Linked DNA regions of Cricetulus griseus. The protein of the gene in region 2 interacts with the protein of the main gene of each other region in a pairwise test. Links are inferred from orthologs where the notes say so. Each region holds a gene or a part of one and is shown on either strand. Other genes may lie near its edges.

Region 1 (4,958 bases), about 350 Mb from region 2:
GGTAGATTTCCCTTGATTGCTGTGAGCTGGGTATAGCCTCTACTTAGGCCACAGAGCTTGCTGTAGCCTTCTCATTTCTTCCATTCCCAGTGTACCTCAGCCTAGGGTTGCTGATGGCTATCTGCAGCCCTTGCTACCTCATTGGTGATATAGTCTCTACATGACTTCCCTACCACTAATTATCCCTATATGCATCATCACTATCCAACTCTCCTGAAAACACTCAGGGTGCTCTGTGTGTTTCTTGTGGATATCCCCACTCCTGCCTCATGTTTAACCATCAAAGTATTATTTCCACTTCTGAATGTCTAAGCACTGACCCTGTTACCTGATTATGTTCTGTCCTGACTGCTGACCTATCAGCACCTGAGGTCAGAGACTGACTCGTCACCTTGATTTCAGTACACTGTCACACTCAACAAAGTGCATTGATTATTATATCAAATTAAAAAGAGCAAATGTGAAACCCACCGATACAGTGTTTAGTAGGGACAGGTTAAGACTTGGACACAAAACAGTAGAGAATTTTATGCTGGAACAGAAATAAGCCCGTGGTCAAAGAATGGATGCTTGGTTCTGACCTAAATTCTTAAGTATTTAAGTGTGTTCTTGTGCAATTGAGAAAGCAGGCCCAGGCCCAGACTCAGGGAATCCCAAAGGGGCATTAGTGCCATGGTATAAAACCACCTGTGGCTCTAGTGGTTCCCCAGTCACACCAGTTCACCATTCTCTTCCTCCAGGGTGACTTTGGCAGCTCAACTTGACCTTCTGTGTTTGTTGCTTTTCATGCTTTGACTAAATACTCAGGAGAAGCTTTTTATTTCAGCTCACATTTTGACAGTGCAGACCACCATGGTGGGGAAAGTATGGCAGGAAGAGCGTCTCTATGCTGTGGCAGTGGGAGCATGTGGCCACACTCCCAGAGATGTCTCCTTGGCAATTCCGAAGCCAGTGAAGCTGACGATGAAGATTAGCCATAATGCTTGTCTGTCTAATCTAGAAAGTCTCCAATTTCCCCTTCCCAGACAGAGCCTGCAGTCTGATTTCTGGGGTCAAGCCATGGTATGTGTTAAGCTGTGATGTGGGATATCGGCTTGTTTTCAAGGGAGAAATCTAGGTAGAAAAGTGGGCAATGAACATCAAGTATGGAAAGGTTTGAACCCGTTTGGAAAGGGTTGGGGGAGAAGCCATTCTGTAGAACAACAACGGAGACAATGGCTTGGAGATAGGATATAGGATATAGGTGACTTTGGTTGGTGTGAGAATCTACCCAGCCAGAACAAGGTCTCCAGCTGGTGTGGGGAAGGTGACATCTTCTTTGAACGTTCTCTGGGAAGGAGGGTGGAGGAATCAGTCCTTCCTCTCAGGAGTAACCCTGTCCACGACTCCCTATAGCTATTCACTCAATGGCTGGCTGGCTGGCTGGCTGGCTGGCTGGCTGGCTGGCTGGCTGGCTGGGAGAGGGTGTCGCTACACAGCCCTGGACTAGCCTGGAGTTCACAGAGATCTGCCTGCCTCTGCCTCCCTAGTGCTGGAATTAAGACATGCTCCCTCCCTCCCTCCACCACCAGCAGCATCTAGCCTTGAGTGCTGTTTGTGATAGTGGGCTGAAGCTGAATATAGGCTGTTAGGAACCCTATAGAGTTCAGAGACAAGTGAAGCTCAGATGACTGCGGGAGGACTAGGAAACCATTCAAACCACAAGGGTTTTGTTTTTTTCTTTCTGCTTCAGGGAGAAGCTGGAGTTACTCCCATTCTACAGCCTAGGAATCTGAGGCCGCCTTCTTAAGAAAGATCCAGACGGTCCCCTGGGGCGGCTGCTCAGTAAGTCCTCGGCCCTAGGGGAGGCTGCGAGCTCCACCGGACTTCCCACTTCCCGGAAAGGCTGGAGAGAAGAGTGTGTGTCCTGGGACGGGGGAGTCCCTTTCCCCGCCCCTCCCCGCCCCGTGGCCACGGCGTGGCTGAGCCCGGGGCGGAGCTGGCGTCTGCTCGCGGACGAGCGGCGGGACGGCGGCCGCAGCCCGGGGCAGGCAGGCGGACAGGCGCGGAGACCGGCCCGGCGGGATCACCCGCAGGAGGACGAGCCAGCCCGCTGCGGTGTGGCCGCACCGACAGAGACCCGGAGCTGTCCACCTAGGCGGAGCGCGTGAGTGAGAGCCGCGTCTCCGCGCCCCTCGCGGCCCGGTCTTGCTTCCACTTTCAGTTCTTCTTGGTCCTCGCTTGCCAACTTCTGGAAGCGACCCGAGCCCGAAAGCAGGCTGGCCACAGTCCTCAGCCCCGGGTCCAAGGCTCAGCGCCCGAACGCCGGGGTGGGGGGTGGCGGTGGCGGTGGCTGGTGAGGGGGCGTGTCTTCAGGAGCGGAAACGTCAGGCGGGCTCCTCTGGGTCCTAGGACCTGTTTGGCCCTAACTGCTGGAGATAAAGGGAGGTTCTTAGGAGCTCAAAGGAGGGGAGGGGGCGGGTCTGGCTGGACAGTAGCTGTGTCTTACACTCCTACTTTTATATTAGATCTTGTCCTGCAGGGCATACCTGGCTAGATTCTGAGTTCAGACTGGGGCGGTTTCTGAGCCAGGCCTGGGAGGGGCAGGTGTGTCCCTGGCAGGGGGCTAGATATTAGAAACAGGCTGGGTCGGTCAACCTTTGCTCTTCATCTGGGAAGATTAGATGCTCAGTCATGGAGTGAGCAAACTACTGGCCACTCACCCAGTAATTAAAGTGGAGGGTCCACTGGGAGAGAGGGCCCAGAGGCTCTGGAAGAAACAGTCTCAGTGATGGCATGAGGCTGGGGAGAGAACAGCGGTAAGAGACATAGCTAGAAGGGGACCTGCCCTCTTAGCTTACCTCCTGTACTCCAAGTTTACTCTTTCTAGGAAAAGTCCTGGGCCTTAAGTTCTACAGCAAGGAGGTGGGGCCTCTCTACTCCCTTCCTCTCCTCTTATCTACACCAGGCCAGTGGCCAGACAGCAGGAAAAGGGTCCTTTGTACCTTATTAGAGGCTAAGTCCCTCTCTATCCCAACCACCTACTTCTTATAACTTTCTATGCAAAGTTGGGCTCCTCAAATCCTGATTCTGGGCTTCAGTTTCCCCATCTGCTCATGTAGGTTAGGCCACTTGATTTTTCAGAGCTGTTTCAACTTGAAGACTTGTATTCCTATATGTCTGGTATTGTGGGTAAGTGAAGGTGGGCATGCAGGTATGGAGGCTGACATCAGTTATCTTACTCACTCTCCACTTCATTTATTGAGGCAAGGTCTATTTTTAAAAAATAATTACATTTATTTATGTGTACGCACACACACACACACACACACACACACACACGTATGTACCACAATGTACATGTTATAGTTAGAGACAGTTGGTGGGAGTTCTCTCCTTCTACCATGAGGGTCCCTCAGGCCAGTAAGTTTACCCATTGAGACATCTCACCAGCCCAAGGCAAGGTGTTTCTGAACCTGGGGCTTGCAGGGGTTCCCTGCCTCTACCTCCTAAGTTCTAGGGTTACAGAAGGCTGCCAGGTCTTGTCAGGTTTTTCATAGGTTCTGGAGATCAAAACTGGTCCTCATGCTTGCACTACAAGCTCTTTACCCACTGAACCATCTCCCCAGCCAACTCTAAGACTCTTGAGTCTAAGCTTTCCCTAAAGCCCGGCCACCAATGTTATGCCAGTCTGACTTTATCTAGAGGGCTTAGGGACAGAAATGGCAGAGTGGTCACCATACAAGGTTGAGATCTGGAGGAGGGTGCTGAAGGAGGTAGCATTCAGTAGGATGGAATGAGAAATCAGGAATCTAGCAGCAAAAGACACACATGCAGGAGAGAGTAAGGGCATGCTCAGGGATCAAGGAGAAGCCCAGGGTGGCTGCTGGTGGGAGGTGGAGTGGGGAAGTTAGGGTGTGGAGTTGAAAAGTAAGAGTCTATAACAGTCAGTAATGGTTGGCCATATCAAGGTGGAGGACCCAGAAACCCCACTGATTGCATGAGTGGTTTTGGAAATCCTGCCCCAGGCAGAGCTTACAAGGGAGACAGCAACTGAAGTATACAGAGCTCTTCATTCAGGAAGTTCAGGCCCCAGCCTGGCATTTCTTTGAGAAGAAGCTGGGGGGTGGGCAGAATAAATGAGAGAAACTTCCATACGTTCAAGCTTCTCTCAAGTGGTCAGGAACTCTCTCTGCCCTCTAAACTACTCTCCTTTTTCCTGATTGATCCATTCTGCTTGCCTGCTGTGATGAGAAGGAAAAACTGTTCCAAACATTTCTGTAAGTTTGATTTGTTGCCAGAAGTAACATCTCTCTGTACTCTATGCCTTTGGTTACCTAACCAACCTAACCCCCACCCTCTCTATCCTGGTCCTGCCACAGCAGTTAACAAAAATGTGAGAAAGGAAATTGCTTCAAAGTCAAGCCAGTCTGAGGTGAAGGATAAGCTTTGTCTGCCACTGTCTCAGGCCTCATTCAGTGTGGAGCTAGACTCGGGGTTTAGACAAACCAAGGTTGAGAACAAGTCAGAGTCAGCATGGAGCCCGAGCTCAGTGCTTAGCTTATACAGCCTAGCGGTCAGGGTCTGTGCTCCGTTTATTCCAGTCTTGGCAGTAGCCTGGATCTGTATTCCCCAGTAGTCATATACATTGGTGGGAGAGATGAAATGCCGAAGATGCTCAGAAACCTGACTAAATCAGAGTGTTCAAAGATTTACAAGGACTAAATCCGTGGTGATGTAAGCAAGCCAGTTTTGAATCAGGGGCTGGATCCCAGGACTTTGGGGGCTCTGATTGATGCCCCCTGAAGTCTGTTCTGAGTCTGGCAGCCTTCTGTTCTAAGAGGCAAAGCAAACATCCAGAAGGACCAGCAGGATGGATCTGGCTGCTCCCCCTGCCCCAGGGTAACAGGTGCATAGTAGGCATGCTGGCAATCATGTGGAGTGCCAGGTGTATTCAGTGGCTTATTCAGGTTTGGGGC
Region 2 (4,756 bases):
TACTTGGGCTCTACCACACTGGACCTTGGAGGACATTCAGTCTCTCTCTCTCTCTCTCTCTCTCTCTCTCTCTCTGTCTCTCTCTGTCTCTCTCTCTCTCTCTGTGTGTGTGTGTGTGTGTATGTATGTATGTATGTATGTGTACTGTGGGTCCAAAATCTACACCTTCTAGCCCACAATCTCCTTGAACAAGTTCCTCCCCGGGACCCAGAAACTCCCTCAGTGTCACAAGTCTAGGTCTTGGGACTTGGCATAGACAGGGGTAGGAACTTGTGAACTAAGATGCATCACACTTAAATTGCCCAGTCCAGGGGCTGGAAGCCTGGACTGTGGTGGGAGTCAATGCATGGCTGGTATTGCCAATACAATGTCCCTGGGCCTCCATCTCTTCTGCAGTTAATTGCAGTAAATGTGGTGCCATTCATGGGGTTGTTCTGAGGACTATTCAAGGAATATTCAAAGACTCAGGTAGGTGCCCAATACTTGCATGGGAAACCACTGGCTCCACAAATTTCATGCTGAAAGTTGTTTAATACCAGAGTCTATCAAAAATGCAGTGTCCTTGTGGGCCGGAGGGATGCTAACAGCAAACCCCGGTAGAAAAATTGAGGCAGAGAGAAAGTCCTGAAAACTTGCCTGAGCAGGGAGAACCCAGGAAGGCAGGGGGGAGGAGGAAGTGGGTTTTGATCCAACTCAGCCTTATTTAGAGAAAGGAGAGGTGTAACCACCACTGAAGGTTCCTCAGGCTGAGTGCTCCAGCGAAGTGCCCACCCACGTGTGCCCTCCACGGTCCAGGGCCGGTACTGAGTTCACCCTGATTGACAGGTGCGGAAGCTGGGCACAGGTGCTCAGAAGTCCCTGGAACCGAGCCCAAGCTGGATGTGTACAAGAGGGACCTGGGGCACACCGGGAGGGCCAGATGCCAGCTCTGGCACAAGCTGGGAGAGACGGTCACTGCGGGAAAGCAAGCCTGGGCCAGGTAGGGGCACAGTCGGCGCAGCCTGTGGCTTGAGATGGAAGGAGAGCGCCCGAGTGCTGGGCTGGACGCGGTTGCCGAGGGGTGGTTACGATCAAGCTCGACGACCTTCTCGTCTTTGCAGGGCGGTCCAGGGGTGCAGATAGGGAAACTGAGGCTGCAAAGCAGTGCAAGGGAGCTCCACAGCGAGCTGTCAGTTTCTTAAGACCTCGCTCGTTCTGTTCACCGCTGCATAGTCCGCCTGTTCATAGCCTCGGGGGCGGGGCGCGCCACGCCTACGCCCACTCCAGGCGGGGCTTCCCGTTGCCGCGGGGCCGTTGATTTCAGGGCGGAACGTTCGCACGGGGAGTGCGCGCGCGCGGGGGAAGGCATTGAGGGAGCGCTGCGGGTTCGGCTCGGCAGGCTCCGCGTGGTGCGCGCGCAGCGCCATCCGGCGCACCGCCCGGCGGCTCCACCCAGCCTGAGGGGCGCGGCCCGGGTAGGAGGCGGCAAGAGCGCGAGCGACACTGGCGACTCCGCTGCGCGGCAGGTGAGGCGGCGGGTCGGGGCCGAGTGCCAGCACCCCGTGTCTCCCCAGCCCTCAGGACCCGCCCTAAGTTCCCGGGACCCCAGTTCCCTCAGATGTCCTGGTGACCCCTACCTCTGGCATCCCCTGGGACTGCCTGGGTCCGCGGCCACCTGTGGACTGGACCACCTTTTAGTCCCGGGAACCCCCCAAACCCTCCAGTTTTTCCCCATACTCAGCACACAGAGGACCTCGGTGTCTTCAAGGCCTGAGCCCCTGCCGTCTTCTGCTCCAGAAGTCCAACAGAATCCCCTCTGGTTCCGCTCCAAAACCTCGAGTCTCCCCGGCCGGTGAACTCCCAACCTTTCTTGGGTGGAGGCCTTCAGAGCCACCTCTCCCCAATGTCCTTCCTTCCTGGGATCTCCTGCCTCCTGCTTTCTAACTTGAGGTTCACAGAGCCCTGCAGCCTCTACTAGAGTGTTCTTGAGGTTTGTGATTTGTTAGCAGGAATAAAAGTACAAACATTCGACAGGTCAGCGGAGGGCCACGTATAACCAAAGAGGAGGTGGGACGTGGGGCTCCGTATGTGCGTTGTGCTCACTGTGGGACCGCATTTTAACTCGTGAGACCCATATGGTAGAGAGACATCGCTGGGAGTGAAGGAGTTGAGCAGACAAGGCTCTTTTAGGTCGTGTTCTCAATGCGTGGTAGTTTTTATTACCATACACAGCCCACCAAAACCAGCCCAAGAGAGCAAGGCTTGATTACAGTGGCCTAGTTGCTAGGAAGATGGCAGCTTGAAGGGCCATCCTTCTGGGATCTTGCTTTAGGGGTGGCTTGCATAGGAAATGCAAGTCAGTAGCTGTTTTTCCCGAGGTGAAAGTTTGGAGCCGAATGGTACACATCCTTTTCAGTCCTGGAAATCTCTAGAACAAAGATTATCATTTCCTCAGGCTATTGTCATTGATCAACAGTTCTGGACTTTACTACACAGTCTGGTGCCCTGAAGCACTGCTACCAAAAAGAACACACTTGACCTGATGATTGTGAAAGACAAGGGTCAGACATTGTCAAAGAGGGAGTGGGTGCCCTATGTGGTCCAGTGTGCTTAGTGCTGGAGACAGAATTTCTTAGGTGACATTTTATCTGTTTGCTCACAGCATAGTCACTTTAGTGTCTCTCACCAGGGTGATTCTTATAGGTCAGCTGGGGAGTCTTGAAGGCAATGGAAAGGTGCTGAAGGCGACACATTTGGATGTGTCAGCACCATCCTCTGTGTGACCAGAGGGGCTGAAGCTGCAAGCCAGAGTCGTGGAAAGAGTGGATTTAGAGATCATGAAGAATAGATGAAGCCTAGACTTGGGAGATGCAGAGGGAACTGGAGATAGCCCGGTACAGGAAGGTTTTCTGTGGCCACCACAGCACTCTGTGGTAGAGTATTCAGACACCAGCCACACATGGCTGACAGTCACTTAGAGTATGCCTACAGTGACAAGACTGGATTTTAATGGATTAAATCTAGGGGTCATGTGAAGCATGCTCTGTAAGTTACTCTAGTGTTATCCTGTGGAAGCCTCTGGCTACCTGGGAGGTACACACTCTTCCTTTTTCATGTGTCACGGAGCAGACTCAAGAGGGTTGTGTAGGCTGTCGGCAGCACGGCACATCTGTTTTTGGTCGGAGCTTTTTGTGTACCTTTCCTTTCCCCACAGCCTTCCGCCTGGAGCCTTCCGCTTGGAAAAGTGGCCACACCTCTTCTCCTTTAGCTCTCCTTATCAGTTCTGCTAAGGTTACTTCAGGCAGCTGTGTGACAATGCTGTTTATGCTGGCTGGCTGTGTGTTTCTGTCTGTCTGTTCATCCCTCCCAGCTTCCCTGATACCATGTTTCTGGGGAATGACAGAGGGTCAGCAGGCTAAACAGAGCAGTCAACCTGGGGGCCCAGGTGTGGAAGTGAATGTGACAGGGAGACTTGGGGCTGCAGGGGTACAGGCAGTGCCTGCTGTAGTCAGAGAGTCTGGAATGCCAACCAGGAGTGAGTTATTGCTGTCCCCAGTGCTTGGGGAGACCTTGACCAAATTACTAGAGGCTTAGCTTTCACCTCAGAAAAATGAGGGCATTTGGCATTATGTAAACCTTAAGATCCTCCCAGCTCTGAAATTCTATGATTTTAAGTTGCCCTAAAGAATATCTCTTCTGCATCTTCTGGGGTTGGGCGGTCATTTGGGCCCAGTTGGGGGCTTTTACCATTACTGACTTATTAAATGAATGTAAATACCTGTGTTATGGTATGTGTCACCTCTGACGGGTAGACTCAAGCAGTGAGTGCTGTGGATGGCAGATTCCTGGGAAGACATCCCATGTATTGTTTGCATCCCAGCACACTGGTGTAGAATGGGGGTCAGACTGCAGCGTGGTAGTCGCCTCTAGAATGGACTCAGTGTGAATCGTGCAGGTGAGGGCTGCTGGCTCTTCATTTTAGAGGCTGGAATGAGACCATGCATGCAAAGTGCTTCCTGTTTTTCCCTAAAAGCAGCAATAATAATTATTATTATTATTATTATTTTTGGACAAGCTCTCTCATGCCCAGGCTGGCTTTAAACTTAGTATATAGCTAAGAATGACTACCGAACTTCTAATCCATCTGCCTCTATCTCTAAAATTCTGGGGGCCACAGGTGTGTGCCAGCAAGTCTGGATAATGCTGTCCATAGAAGGAACTATTATATTAAGTGTTTTGGTACTGGTAGGATTTTGCCTTTTTGGGTTTTTTGAGACAGGGTTTCTCTGTATAGCTTTGGAGCGTATCCTGGCACTCTCTCTGTAGACCAGACTGGCCTCGAACTCACAGAGATCCACCTGCCTCCGCCTCCCGAGTGCTGGGATTAAAGGCAGTGCACCACCAACGCCCAGCCTTCCTTTTTCTTTTTTAGAATTTTTTTTTTTTTTATTGTGCATGTGATGTGTGTTAGTACATGTGACACAGCATGTGCGGAGGTCAGTGGACAACTTTGTGGAATCATTTCTCTCCACCTTTTTGGGGGGATGGGTTGAGACAGGCTTTCTCTGTTATGTAGCAATTTCTTTTTTTTATTTTTTATATATTTGAATTACAAACAAACATACCAATTTCTTAATTTGGGCTCAAATATTTAAGCAGCTTGGGAGCACTACTTTCAAGATACCGGTTAGGACTTTTTTTTTTTTTTTTTTGGTATTGTTTTGAGACAGTCTATCTACATAACCCTGTTTTTTTGGAACTCACTATGTAGATCACC
Region 3 (4,983 bases), on a different chromosome or scaffold from region 2:
TAATACATTCAATTATTTCCTAATTAGTATCCCAGCAGGGTCCAGGGGGGAATTTGACAATTTAATTGTAGCAATTATTTGAAAGTGGGGGGAAGAAACCTAAGTAGTTAGCAGTGAGGGGGGAGGGGGAGAGGAGGTGTAGGAGGAAGAAGAAAGAGGGCGGAGGGGGAGACACAGAGGCAAAGTGAATTGCCTAGTAAATTCTAAAACTGAACCTGGCCAGGTGGTGGTGTGTTACAGGATTTTGATCTGTTTAGCCAATGGCTTTTGGGGCAGCAAGCATGGTCTTGTCCGCCTTCAATCCCAGCACTCTGGAGGCAGAGGCAGGCAGATCTCTGTGAGTTTGAGGCCAGCCTAGTCTACAGAGTGGATTCCAGGACAGCCTCCAAAGCCACAGAGAAACCCTGTCTCGAAAAACCAACACAAACAAACAAACAAAAGCCCCCAAAACAACAACAAACAAAACAACAAAAACTGAACCTGCTGCCAGAGTGATTATTTCTGGGTAGCATTTGCTCAGGGATTTGAAATTTGGCAACAGCACATAACAGGAACCCGGAGGAAGCCAAATTTGTTATTTGTGTGTGTGCTCGTGATTCACTCATTGCTGCTAGTACACATGGGTATGGAACCATCTACTAGATTATGGGTCATATGACTTCTCAGAGCCATATTCTTGAAGAAAGTTGACCACCCCCTCACTTCCAGAAGCCATCAATTGCCAGTAACTTCCCAGCTATGTTTAAATTGGAGCCCACCTATTTTTTGGGGGGGCATTAATACTGAATAACCTTCCAGGAACCTGGACTTAAGCACCACCAACGGGTGCAAGATAAAATGGGTAGTTTAACAGGAACAGAGGCCTCTGGGCTCCAGATTTCCCAAGGGCAGGAAGGGGGAAAGTCACTCAAAGGGCTCTTTCATCAAAGTAGCCAAGAAAGTTCTGGAAAAGGAGAGGCACCTAAGAGGGTAGATCTCAGGCCCAGTCAAGGCATAACCTGCTCCAATGGATACTAAAAACTCTGCCCAGTGAGCTTCAGAATTGTGATCGACCAAAGATCCTGTCATGTGTGGGTCCCTCCCCCGAGTCACATGTTAGGTTTTGAGTAAGCTGTTACATAAATGGACATGCTTGTGCCTTTCCACATTGTCAGCACTGTGCAGAAGGGCTTGATGACAGGTGGGTTTTTGTTTTTTTGACAGGTGTGTTCTGTGGTACCTTAGCATTAGGTACAACTTTCTCTTTAGGGCCCAGACAAAGGGCTTGCATTATTTATTGGTGTTTGATAAGCTCAGGATTTTGATTCACCCCTGATTTAACTTATTTAGTTTGTAGGTGGTGATTTAATTTGCACAAGTGATTTTTATCAGTCTCTGCTCTGCATTAGAGTTGGTGAGTGTTTACTTGCACAAGTAAAATGAAGAGTCACTCTGTCTGAGGGAAAAATGGAGCTTTATAAAATGGACTCGCTCGGGGATCCGCACAGCGTTAAGACGGCAATTCTACACAGCATTAGTGACTGATTTTGCTGCGAGTCACAGACTAGGATGTGATGGGGGTCGATAAACCATCTTTTTAGGAGCTGCCTCGGGGGCCCACATCCAACCAGTAAGATAGCACCGCATTCTGGGCCTTTTAGAGCCACTGGGACGGGACGAGTCTTTTGTGGACCTGGGGAGGCACACCATTAAACACGTTTAGACAGGGGGGATCGAGGCGACTTTGTCGTACACGAAGAGGGTGCGTAGCACAGTTCCAGCGGCCTTGCCTGAATTGAGACAGACTGGGCCTGGCCATCCAGCACTGACGCCATTCGGCAGCTTTTTACCGGCACCCTCTGGGTACCAGGCTCCGTCCAAGAGGAAGCCCTAGAACTTAGAAGCACCGAACCTGACGGACCAGAAAGCCAGTCAATAGGAAAGGTGCATGGGGAGGACCCAGCTCTGGAGCAGCAGCACCCTCGGGTACTCAGAAACAAAGGCGACCACTCCCTGTGCGCATGCTCCAAGCCGGCTCGCCCATGGCGCGGCGCTGAGTGACGTCACTGGCGGGCGCCAGCAGGGAGGGCGCGGTGCGTCGCACGTGTGCGGAGGCCGCGGGCGGGCCCATGGCGAGCTCCGCGGGGCTGGCGCTGTGCGGCCAAACGCTCGTGGTGCGGGGCGGCAGCAGGTTCCTGGCCATCTCCACTACAAGCAGGTAAGAGGCCCGGGCCGGTGGCGGGGCCTCACCGCGGGGCCTCACCGCCGCTGTCCCGAATGAGGCCTCCTCCTCCTCCTCCCTGTTCCCCGACCTCGGAGTCCCCACGACCTGCACGGCGGGTCTGGGGCGCACGCTCCGTTGGGGTGGAGTCCGGGCACTTCCGGACTTTGCGGCGCCTGCGCGTCGTGGGGAGGGCCGAGTCACGTGCGTGTCGCGGAGGCCAGACTTGGGGTCTGGGTGCTCCAGACTGACCTGCCCGGAACCTCACTGGTGAGCCTGGTGTATTGCGAACTCTGCTGGCTCTCACCGAGCACAGGCGTGCTTCCCGCCCCTTGTCTGTGTCCAGCAACCCGGCTCTAGCTGCTGTGCGGGGTTTTTAGGTTTATACCCCGACACCTCCCAGTCCCAGGATGCACGCAGAGCCTGAAGCGGGCATCTCCCTCTTAGTCCTTCCCAATAGTGGTTTTGCTTTACGTTATTCCCGTAGTGGTGGGTCAAGGGATGCTTGACTCAAGTGAATGGTGGAGCAAGTAGTGACCCAGGAACCGAAGGACTTAGTGGCAGTCCGTTTTGGCTTCTTTTCCTTTTCCCATTTAGTTTCCGTACTCTGACATTTGAAGATTAGGAATGTTCCTCAGTTTGTGTCGTCGAGGGACTGCTATTGGCCAGCAAGGTTTCAGACTTGGAAAATGACTTTTCTTTCTGCAGCTCAGTGTTTAATTGGAAAAGTCTTTGGTGCGGCTGTCAATAGTACAAGGTGCTTTAAACCGGGCCAGAGCACCCAAGGGAGCTTAGGTTCTAATAGGGAGAGTGGGCGATTCCTATATGAGTAGGTGCCTGAGGCTTGTGGGGGCTTTCTCCCCAGCAGGTGAGACATGCTTCTGAACCATGTAAGGACAGCCTCGACTGTTTTAAATTTGCGAGCAGAGCTCAGTTGAAAATAACATCAGAACATGGGCTGGAGAGATGCCTCAGTGGTTAAGAGCACTGATTACTCTTCCAGAGGTCCCGAGTTCAATTCCCAGCAACCACAAGGTGGCTCACAGCCATCTATAATGAGATCTGGTGCCCTCTTCTGATGTGCAGGCATATATGGGGGCAGATTGTTGTGTACATAATAAATAAATCTTAAAAAAAATAACATCAGAATATAATCTCTTAGAATCAACAGTTTGGTGCCTGGAAGAGTCCACTGATTCCAGGTGTGCCCCACTGTGCCAGGTGGAACTGATTTAGAACAGAAACATGCTGGCTGTTCATGATACAGCCTATTAGGGGGTTAAGCAGATGACAATTCTTGGCTCTTCTGTCCTGGAGAAGGCCCCAATTCAATGATGATGAAATGTCCTAGAGTGACAAGAAGCAGTTCTGTGTGTTGATAAGCTCTCATTCTGGTTTCTTCCCTATAGTGACGATGACTGCGTCTTCACATACGACTGCAGTGCTGCGGAGAAAAAGTCAGTGCCAGGAGATAAAGGGTGAGATGGTGGGGAATCGTGCTCACTTGTGGTTTGAATGGTGAGACCAGTAAGCCGAGGCAGGAATTTCTAGTTGTGGGGCGAGGCTAAGTTCCATCTCAGAAAGAAACATGGAAATAATTTTAAGGGCCTTCCCAAATACTTTTAGTGTCCTTAGTAACCATTTTTTGTCACTGGTCCCTTAAATTAATAAGGAGCATATCAAATGCATTGAGAGCAGGTGTGGGGAATTAACTAATTGAAAGGGACACAGCAGTGTGTGATTGTTTTGAGTGGTAGCTTGGTCTTGTGACTCAGTTTGTTAGCGATATTATTGGTCCCTGCTTCTAGCCTTGGATTAGTCCATATCTAGGAGGGTTAGGCCATGTGATTGCTGAGAGTGCTTCCAGCGCACACTGGATGTTAGTGTGTTTGCAGAGGGCTCCTGTTGGTTTAGGTTTCACGCTTGTAAAATCAGAGCTGTTCTCTGAACTTCCCCTTAAGTTTCGTCACTATGCTTTGGCTACATGACCTGCTTGACCAAGCGTCTTCTGCCTTCCCTGTGTTAGAATGGACAAGCTTGGCAACTCAGGTGAGGCCTAACTGTTTTCCTTTCTTCCTCTGCCCTTCTTCAGGGAGGACGGACAGCCCATCGACAAGGGGAGTGACACGATTCTGGCGTCCACCTTCTCCAAGTCTGGCAGCTATTTTGCTTTAACTGATGACAGTAAGCGTCTGATTCTTTTCCGTACAAAACCATGGCAATGTCTGAGTGTCAGGTATGAAATGCTAACATTGAGTCATTAAGATGTCCTATGCACTCCTTGTCCTTGCATGTCATACATCAGCAGTGGTGACAGGGACCATTGTAATAGCAGCTAACATGAAGTGCCAGCTATGTGTGAGACACTGATTTCAGAGCTGTACATGCACTAACTGACTGAATCCTAATAGCACGGGAGGGTGGCCTGGCCCTGCTCCTCCACATGGGGTGGCGTAGGGTTAAGTAGCCGTTTCAGGACATGGAGCTGGGAAAGGCAGAGCCAGGCTGTGTAGCTGCTCCTCTGGCTGCAGTGTCAGTACCCTGTATGCCATATGTCTTCCTGCATTCCCCGTTGCTGTGGCCTCATATACCTGACAGGATTAGGACTGTTAGCTCACACTCAAGATGCCAGGGCTTTGGATAAGTGGCAGTGGCTGTTGCACATTTGTAAGCTAGGTGGTGGGCTACATCCTTTTGTGTCTGAGGAGAAGATAAAAGACGAGGTAGGTGTAGGGTGAGACAACTGGGCAGGACTGCAGGTGGGTATTCTAGTCATTTCTCCC
Region 4 (5,077 bases), on a different chromosome or scaffold from region 2:
CGGCAGTAGGTGAAATAAAGATGGCATCACTTCTCCCAGAATAAATCTGGGGCCACCTGTGCTTGACACTGGCTCTGTGGCTTTTGCGTCAGCCTCTGTGACATTTCTGTCCTGGACAGACAGATGGAGGTTCTTGTTCTCTAGAAGTCAAGAGTCCAGTTGGGGAGAAGAGCAGAGAGTGGTATTAGTTCCCTTGTAAGGGATGCAGGTGTTTTTCCAGTAGCCTCCCAGCCAGACTTCTAAGCCAGGACCCAGGCACTCTGCATTCAGCGGGTCACGGCTGTGCCCTTCCTAATAAGGCTTTGAGCTCAGTTTGGGACTGGCGTGCAGGGGACAGGACCTACTTCTTGGACACCATGTCTCAGCTTTCTGGATGGTGGAATCTTACATCCACCACACTTTTGTATCTGGGGTGGAGGGGGCGGTGCTTCGGATGTGGTATTAGGTAGGCTGACCTTGAAGTTCCTGCACTCCCCCTGCTTCCAATTCCCAAGTGATGAGATTACAGGTGCTCACCCTGCCCAGTCTGCTATATTCTTAGTTATTTTAGTTCATTTGATTTAAGACAGGTTCTTGGGTAGCTCAGACTGGTCTCCAATTCATGATTCCCTTGACTCTCAGCCACCACCCCCCCAATCCACCTATTCTTTGATTCTTAGGCTTTTTCCTGTTAGCCAACTTCTCATAACTTCTGTGTACAATAAATTGCCTGGTTTTCTGACTGAACCCATCTTGATACACAGAATGACAAGTTGCCTACTTAGTTTAGGGATCTTCTCTTAACCTTCTGCTCAAGGAACATAAATGGCTGGTGGTGGAGATCAATCTAGGCCATCAGTAGTCATCTAGTGGCTCCTGCTGGCACTGCTGAGAAAACCCATCTTCAAGGGTATTGGATTACCCATGTAGTAACTCAACTAACCATGGCAGCCATAATTGCATGGGAATAACACTTGCATTCTCACAGGTTTTTTTGTTTTTCTTTAGGATAGGAGTGCTGGTTAGATTTTTGTAAACTTAACACAAGCTAGAGTCATCTTGAAAAAGGGACTGTAATTGAAAAATTGGTTTCATCCAATTGGCCTATAGGAAGGGGGAGGGGAGGAAGTTTCTCCCTCCAGAGTGCTGAGAATAAAGGCCCCAGCTACCTTGAACTCCGGATCCTCCCGCCTCAGCTTTTTCTGTTGTTTTAATTTTTCCTTGGCTTTTGGCTTTGTTTTTAAGATGGTTTCTCTGTACAGCCCTGGCTATCCTGGAACTCACTCTGTAGACCAGGTTGGACTTGAACTCAAGAGACCCTCATGTCTTTGACTCTGGAATGCTGGGATTGAAGGTGTGTGCCACCACAACCAACTCTGCCTCAGTTTTTCAAGTGCTGGGATTACAGGCGTGTACCTATATGCCTAGTGTCTTAAAAGAAATGGATTTCTTTTATTTTTCCTAATGTTTTTCAGGATAAGGTCTCATGAATTCCATGAAGGCCTTGAACTCTGCAGCCCAGGGTCCTGAACCAGGAACCCTTCTTTTCTGAGCCTCTCTCTAGTAGCTGGAACAACAGGCCTGCAGCCCTAGGCTAGCCCACTCTAGTGTAGCAAGGAATGCCGGGATCCATCCTTTCTAGGAGTCTTGATCTTGCATTCCCAGTGAAGAGCGCAGTTTCACGTCCTAAGATCTCATGTGACAACTTCGGGCAAGTCTCAAAACAGTCCAGTCCCTCCGGCCCCTCCGGAGGGCCAGTGACTAAGCTTCAAAGAGGCGGGGCCTAATAATATATTGAGACTAGAAAGAGGCGGGAACTAAGTGGAGGCCAGCCCAGGGGGCGGGGCCAGGCTGTAATTCAGCCGAAAGGGACGGGAACTAAGCAGAGCCTCCCTCAGGGGCGGAGCCTTGCCATAGCTGAACCCGGAAGGGGCGGGGAGTAGGCGGAGCCCAGTCCTAGGGCGGGGCCTAACAGTAGGCTGGGTCGGCTTGAAAGTGGGGCTTCCAGGAACGCTCTCCGGAAGCGCCGCATTGCTGCCCCGGGAGAGGCGTTCCAGTCGTAGTCGCTGCCGCCGCCTTCCCAGCCTGTGCCGCGTCAGTCATGCCGGTAAGTGGCCTTGCCGCTCCACCCGTGCGAACCGTTTTCTCCGGCCCGATGCACCGCTGCCCGACCAGACGCTGCTATTAGGGCGCGTGCCATGGCCGGAGCTGCAGTCATGCTTTAGTTTACTCTCCCTCCGCACTCGCCCTCCAGCTTCGCGACCCTCGGGAAACCTGTAGAGAGAACTGTATTGCAGAATATAGGCCTCAAGATCGCTCTAGAGAGTCAAGGAGCAGCCCCAATCTTCCCTGCACGATGGAGAAACTGAAACCGGGAGGTAGGGCAGAGAACCCGCATCGGGACGCCGGTACCTGCCCTTTCCAGGTGCATGCCCCTGCCGCCGAGCTAGTAGGTTTTCAAAGAAGTAGGTCTCTCCACCTCCCCTGCCCACACTGGCCTGCTTCCACTTCAGCCCTGGGCAACCCTGAACCGAAAGGATACTTTCCTCCTTTCCAGCCAGGAGTTCCCAAAGCTCGGAGCAGAGTTTCCAGAGCCAAGAGCAGCGCTTACCTTGCCTTTGAAATCACCCACTCCTGTGCATGGTGGTTTCTAGCCTCATAGCCTCATTGCTTATTAATAAAGGCCTTTGGAACATTACACAAGATAAGAAAAAGCCCAGTGTTTGTTGGAGAGTATTTATTGGGCGCTAGTTGGGCGCTAGGTAGATAGGATCCAGGATGAAGCCAGATCACCTGGGAAGTGCTGGGCAAAACCAGTTGTACTGCTTGCCTTTGAGCTCTGATCTGTGTTGAGTTCCTGAGATAATGGTTAGGGCCTTGGAGTCGGGAGCATTTTTCTCCTGGTGCCTCTGAACCCAGTGGGCATATTTTAGCGGGCTTATCGTCTGTGAGTGAACCAGAGGCTCCCACCTGATGCAGACTTAAACATCTCAGGTGGCACTTGTGGTTCTTACCCTTTGTCTTGAGAGACTTTTCCTCAGATCGCACAAAGCACAAACAAAAGACTTGATAAAGTCCATCCTACCAGTCAAGCCAGTCTGTCCTGCAGTGTGAGGCTCATTCATAACCCTGGGATCCCAGAGTCAAGGCTGCCAGGCTCTCCTGGGGAGAGCAGTGAAGAAAATAACTTGCAGACCCCTCTATTCTGTGTCTGCCTCTGGGGACTTTCATTGGAGTGAGGCATATAGTAGACACCTTAGCTCAAGACCAACAACTAAAGGTATCTTTCAAGTGCCGCCTCCAGTCTAGCCAGGGGAATGAGTTTTACCAAAGGTGGTTTGCATGCCAAAGCTTAACCCAGTCTATGCCCTATGGCTTGCCAGCTGGGCAACTTCAGGCAAGATGTTCTGTCTCTCTGTGTGTGCCTTCCATCTCCTCATCCATAAAATAGGGATTGGAAACTGACCTTGCAGGGCTGTGTTTGGTATTAACTAGAATGATGTCATCAAAATATCTAACACAACTAGTGACCCATCCGGTCCCCAAGGAGTGGTGTACCTCCTGTGTAGATGTAGGACAGGCTTCCACCCCATTTTAACGTGGACCTCAGTGGTTAAAAGTTAGAGTTTTGTGTACTCTGTCCAACCCAGGCCCTGTTACTCATGAGCTGCATCTCCCTGAGTCAGTACCCAACCTCCAAGCTTCAGCTTTCTCATCTCTTGGGAATAGGAAGAGTTTCCTGGCTTATGGAAGCATTGTAGCTATCAAACAAGACAGTGTACAAGGTGTTTAGAAGAAGGCCTGGCACATCAGAGATAATTAGATATTAGTAATCAGGAATCCAGACACCAGTGTCCAAAGACACAATGTTCTCTAGAAGAACTTCTCCTCTTCCATTCCCACTGTTCCAGTTCTAGAGGGTCTGTTAAAGAATTGTACCACTTACCGGCTCTCTGAAGTAATACTGTATGTAATAATACATAATACATAATACAGCGTGTTGCCGTAGAACATTAATATATACGTCAGAGGATCCATTTTGCTTGTTTTCTGTTACAGCATCTCACACTGTAACTCAGGTTGGCCTATAAGTGAATATGTAGCCCAACTGATCCTTGTAGCAATCCTCCTACGTAGGCCTCCCAAGTGTTAATTTGGGGCCTGTGTATGCTCTGCCATTCTTCCATGACCCTTTTGTAAGAGGCACTGGGGAGACATCCAGGGATGGAGCAGGTCTTGAGATAGTCCTGTGAAGACTGGATCACCCTATCCATTAGGCAGAACTTTCTGTCATCCTCAGGTGTAAACTGCAGAGTTTGTAGGCAGAGGTGTAGGGAGTTCTGAGTTGGAGTGGAGTGTTGGCCTCCTGTGAGCTGCCCACCCCCCCACCTCTGTACTGTGAAAGACTTCCTTGTTAGGGTCTTCAGTTTGGAGCTCAGATAACTGTTGACTTTAGATCCCTGAGCAGCAATTACTTATCTTCTGAAACCCCCTTCAGAGATTCTTCTCAGAGTCAGTTTGTGGAGGATGGGCTGTTATAAAACCAACAAGATTTCCCTGGAGCAAAGAAAGCCTCTCTAGGGCTCCTGCCTTTGCACCCATGGCCTCATCACCTTAGTGACCTCCCAGCAAGAGGAAATGAATAGTTCTGTTTTCAAGCTAGGAAAATACTGCAGAAAGGAGTTTGAGGGTGGTAGGATGGGTCAGCTGATAAGGATATTTGTAGCAAGCCTGATAGCCTCTGACATCCACACTTACTCAATGGCACACACTCACACATGCAAATAAGTGGATAAGTATAGTATACTTATTATCTTTTAGGTTTATTTGTGTGAGCGAGAGTGCATGCGCACCATTTATGTGCAGAGATAGAAGAGCTTCAGATTCCCTGGAGTTGGAGATACAGGTGGTTGTAGTTCAGGGAACCAAACTCAGAACTTCTGGGAAAGTACAAGTAGTCTTAACTACTGAGCTGTCTCTCTAGCCCTATTTATTATTTGAAATGAAATATTTTTTATTATTTATTTAAAAATTAGTTGTTTTGTTATTGGGGGGGTGGGGAGATTGAGACAGGGTTTCTCTGTGTAGCCCTGGTTGT

The links. The genes of interacting proteins can lie anywhere in the genome.
Region 1: the proteins of Fam118a (region 2) and Mob3c interact in binary tests that used the Homo sapiens proteins (3 or more experiments, as listed by UniProt). The link is inferred for Cricetulus griseus from reciprocal best matches to the Homo sapiens genes FAM118A and MOB3C.
Region 3: the proteins of Fam118a (region 2) and Wdr4 interact in binary tests that used the Homo sapiens proteins (3 or more experiments, as listed by UniProt). The two-hybrid records come from large-scale screens. The link is inferred for Cricetulus griseus from reciprocal best matches to the Homo sapiens genes FAM118A and WDR4.
Region 4: the proteins of Fam118a (region 2) and Atox1 interact in binary tests that used the Homo sapiens proteins (3 or more experiments, as listed by UniProt). The two-hybrid records come from large-scale screens. The link is inferred for Cricetulus griseus from reciprocal best matches to the Homo sapiens genes FAM118A and ATOX1.

The regions. Positions count from the first base shown.
Region 1 is NC_048595.1:36,509,911-36,514,868, reverse strand, and holds the start of Mob3c (MOB kinase activator 3C), read left to right. Parts: upstream 1-2,013; 5' UTR 2,014-2,146; intron 2,147-4,958. UniProt on the Homo sapiens protein: May regulate the activity of kinases.
Region 2 is NC_048595.1:381,878,804-381,883,559, forward strand, and holds the start of Fam118a (protein FAM118A), read left to right. Parts: upstream 1-1,369; 5' UTR 1,370-1,505; intron 1,506-4,756.
Region 3 is NW_023276806.1:259,843,438-259,848,420, reverse strand, and holds the start of Wdr4 (tRNA (guanine-N(7)-)-methyltransferase non-catalytic subunit WDR4), read left to right. Parts: upstream 1-2,038; 5' UTR 2,039-2,108; coding exon 2,109-2,197; intron 2,198-2,358; exon of another isoform or gene 2,359-2,470; intron 2,471-2,698; exon of another isoform or gene 2,699-2,889; coding exon of another isoform or gene 2,890-2,957; intron 2,958-3,609; coding exon 3,610-3,678; intron 3,679-4,292; coding exon 4,293-4,436; intron 4,437-4,983. UniProt on the Homo sapiens protein: Non-catalytic component of the METTL1-WDR4 methyltransferase complex required for the formation of N(7)-methylguanine in a subset of RNA species, such as tRNAs, mRNAs and microRNAs (miRNAs).
Region 4 is NC_048600.1:69,641,867-69,646,943, reverse strand, and holds the start of Atox1 (copper transport protein ATOX1), read left to right. Parts: upstream 1-2,132; 5' UTR 2,133-2,335; coding exon 2,336-2,404; intron 2,405-5,077. UniProt on the Homo sapiens protein: Binds and deliver cytosolic copper to the copper ATPase proteins. May be important in cellular antioxidant defense.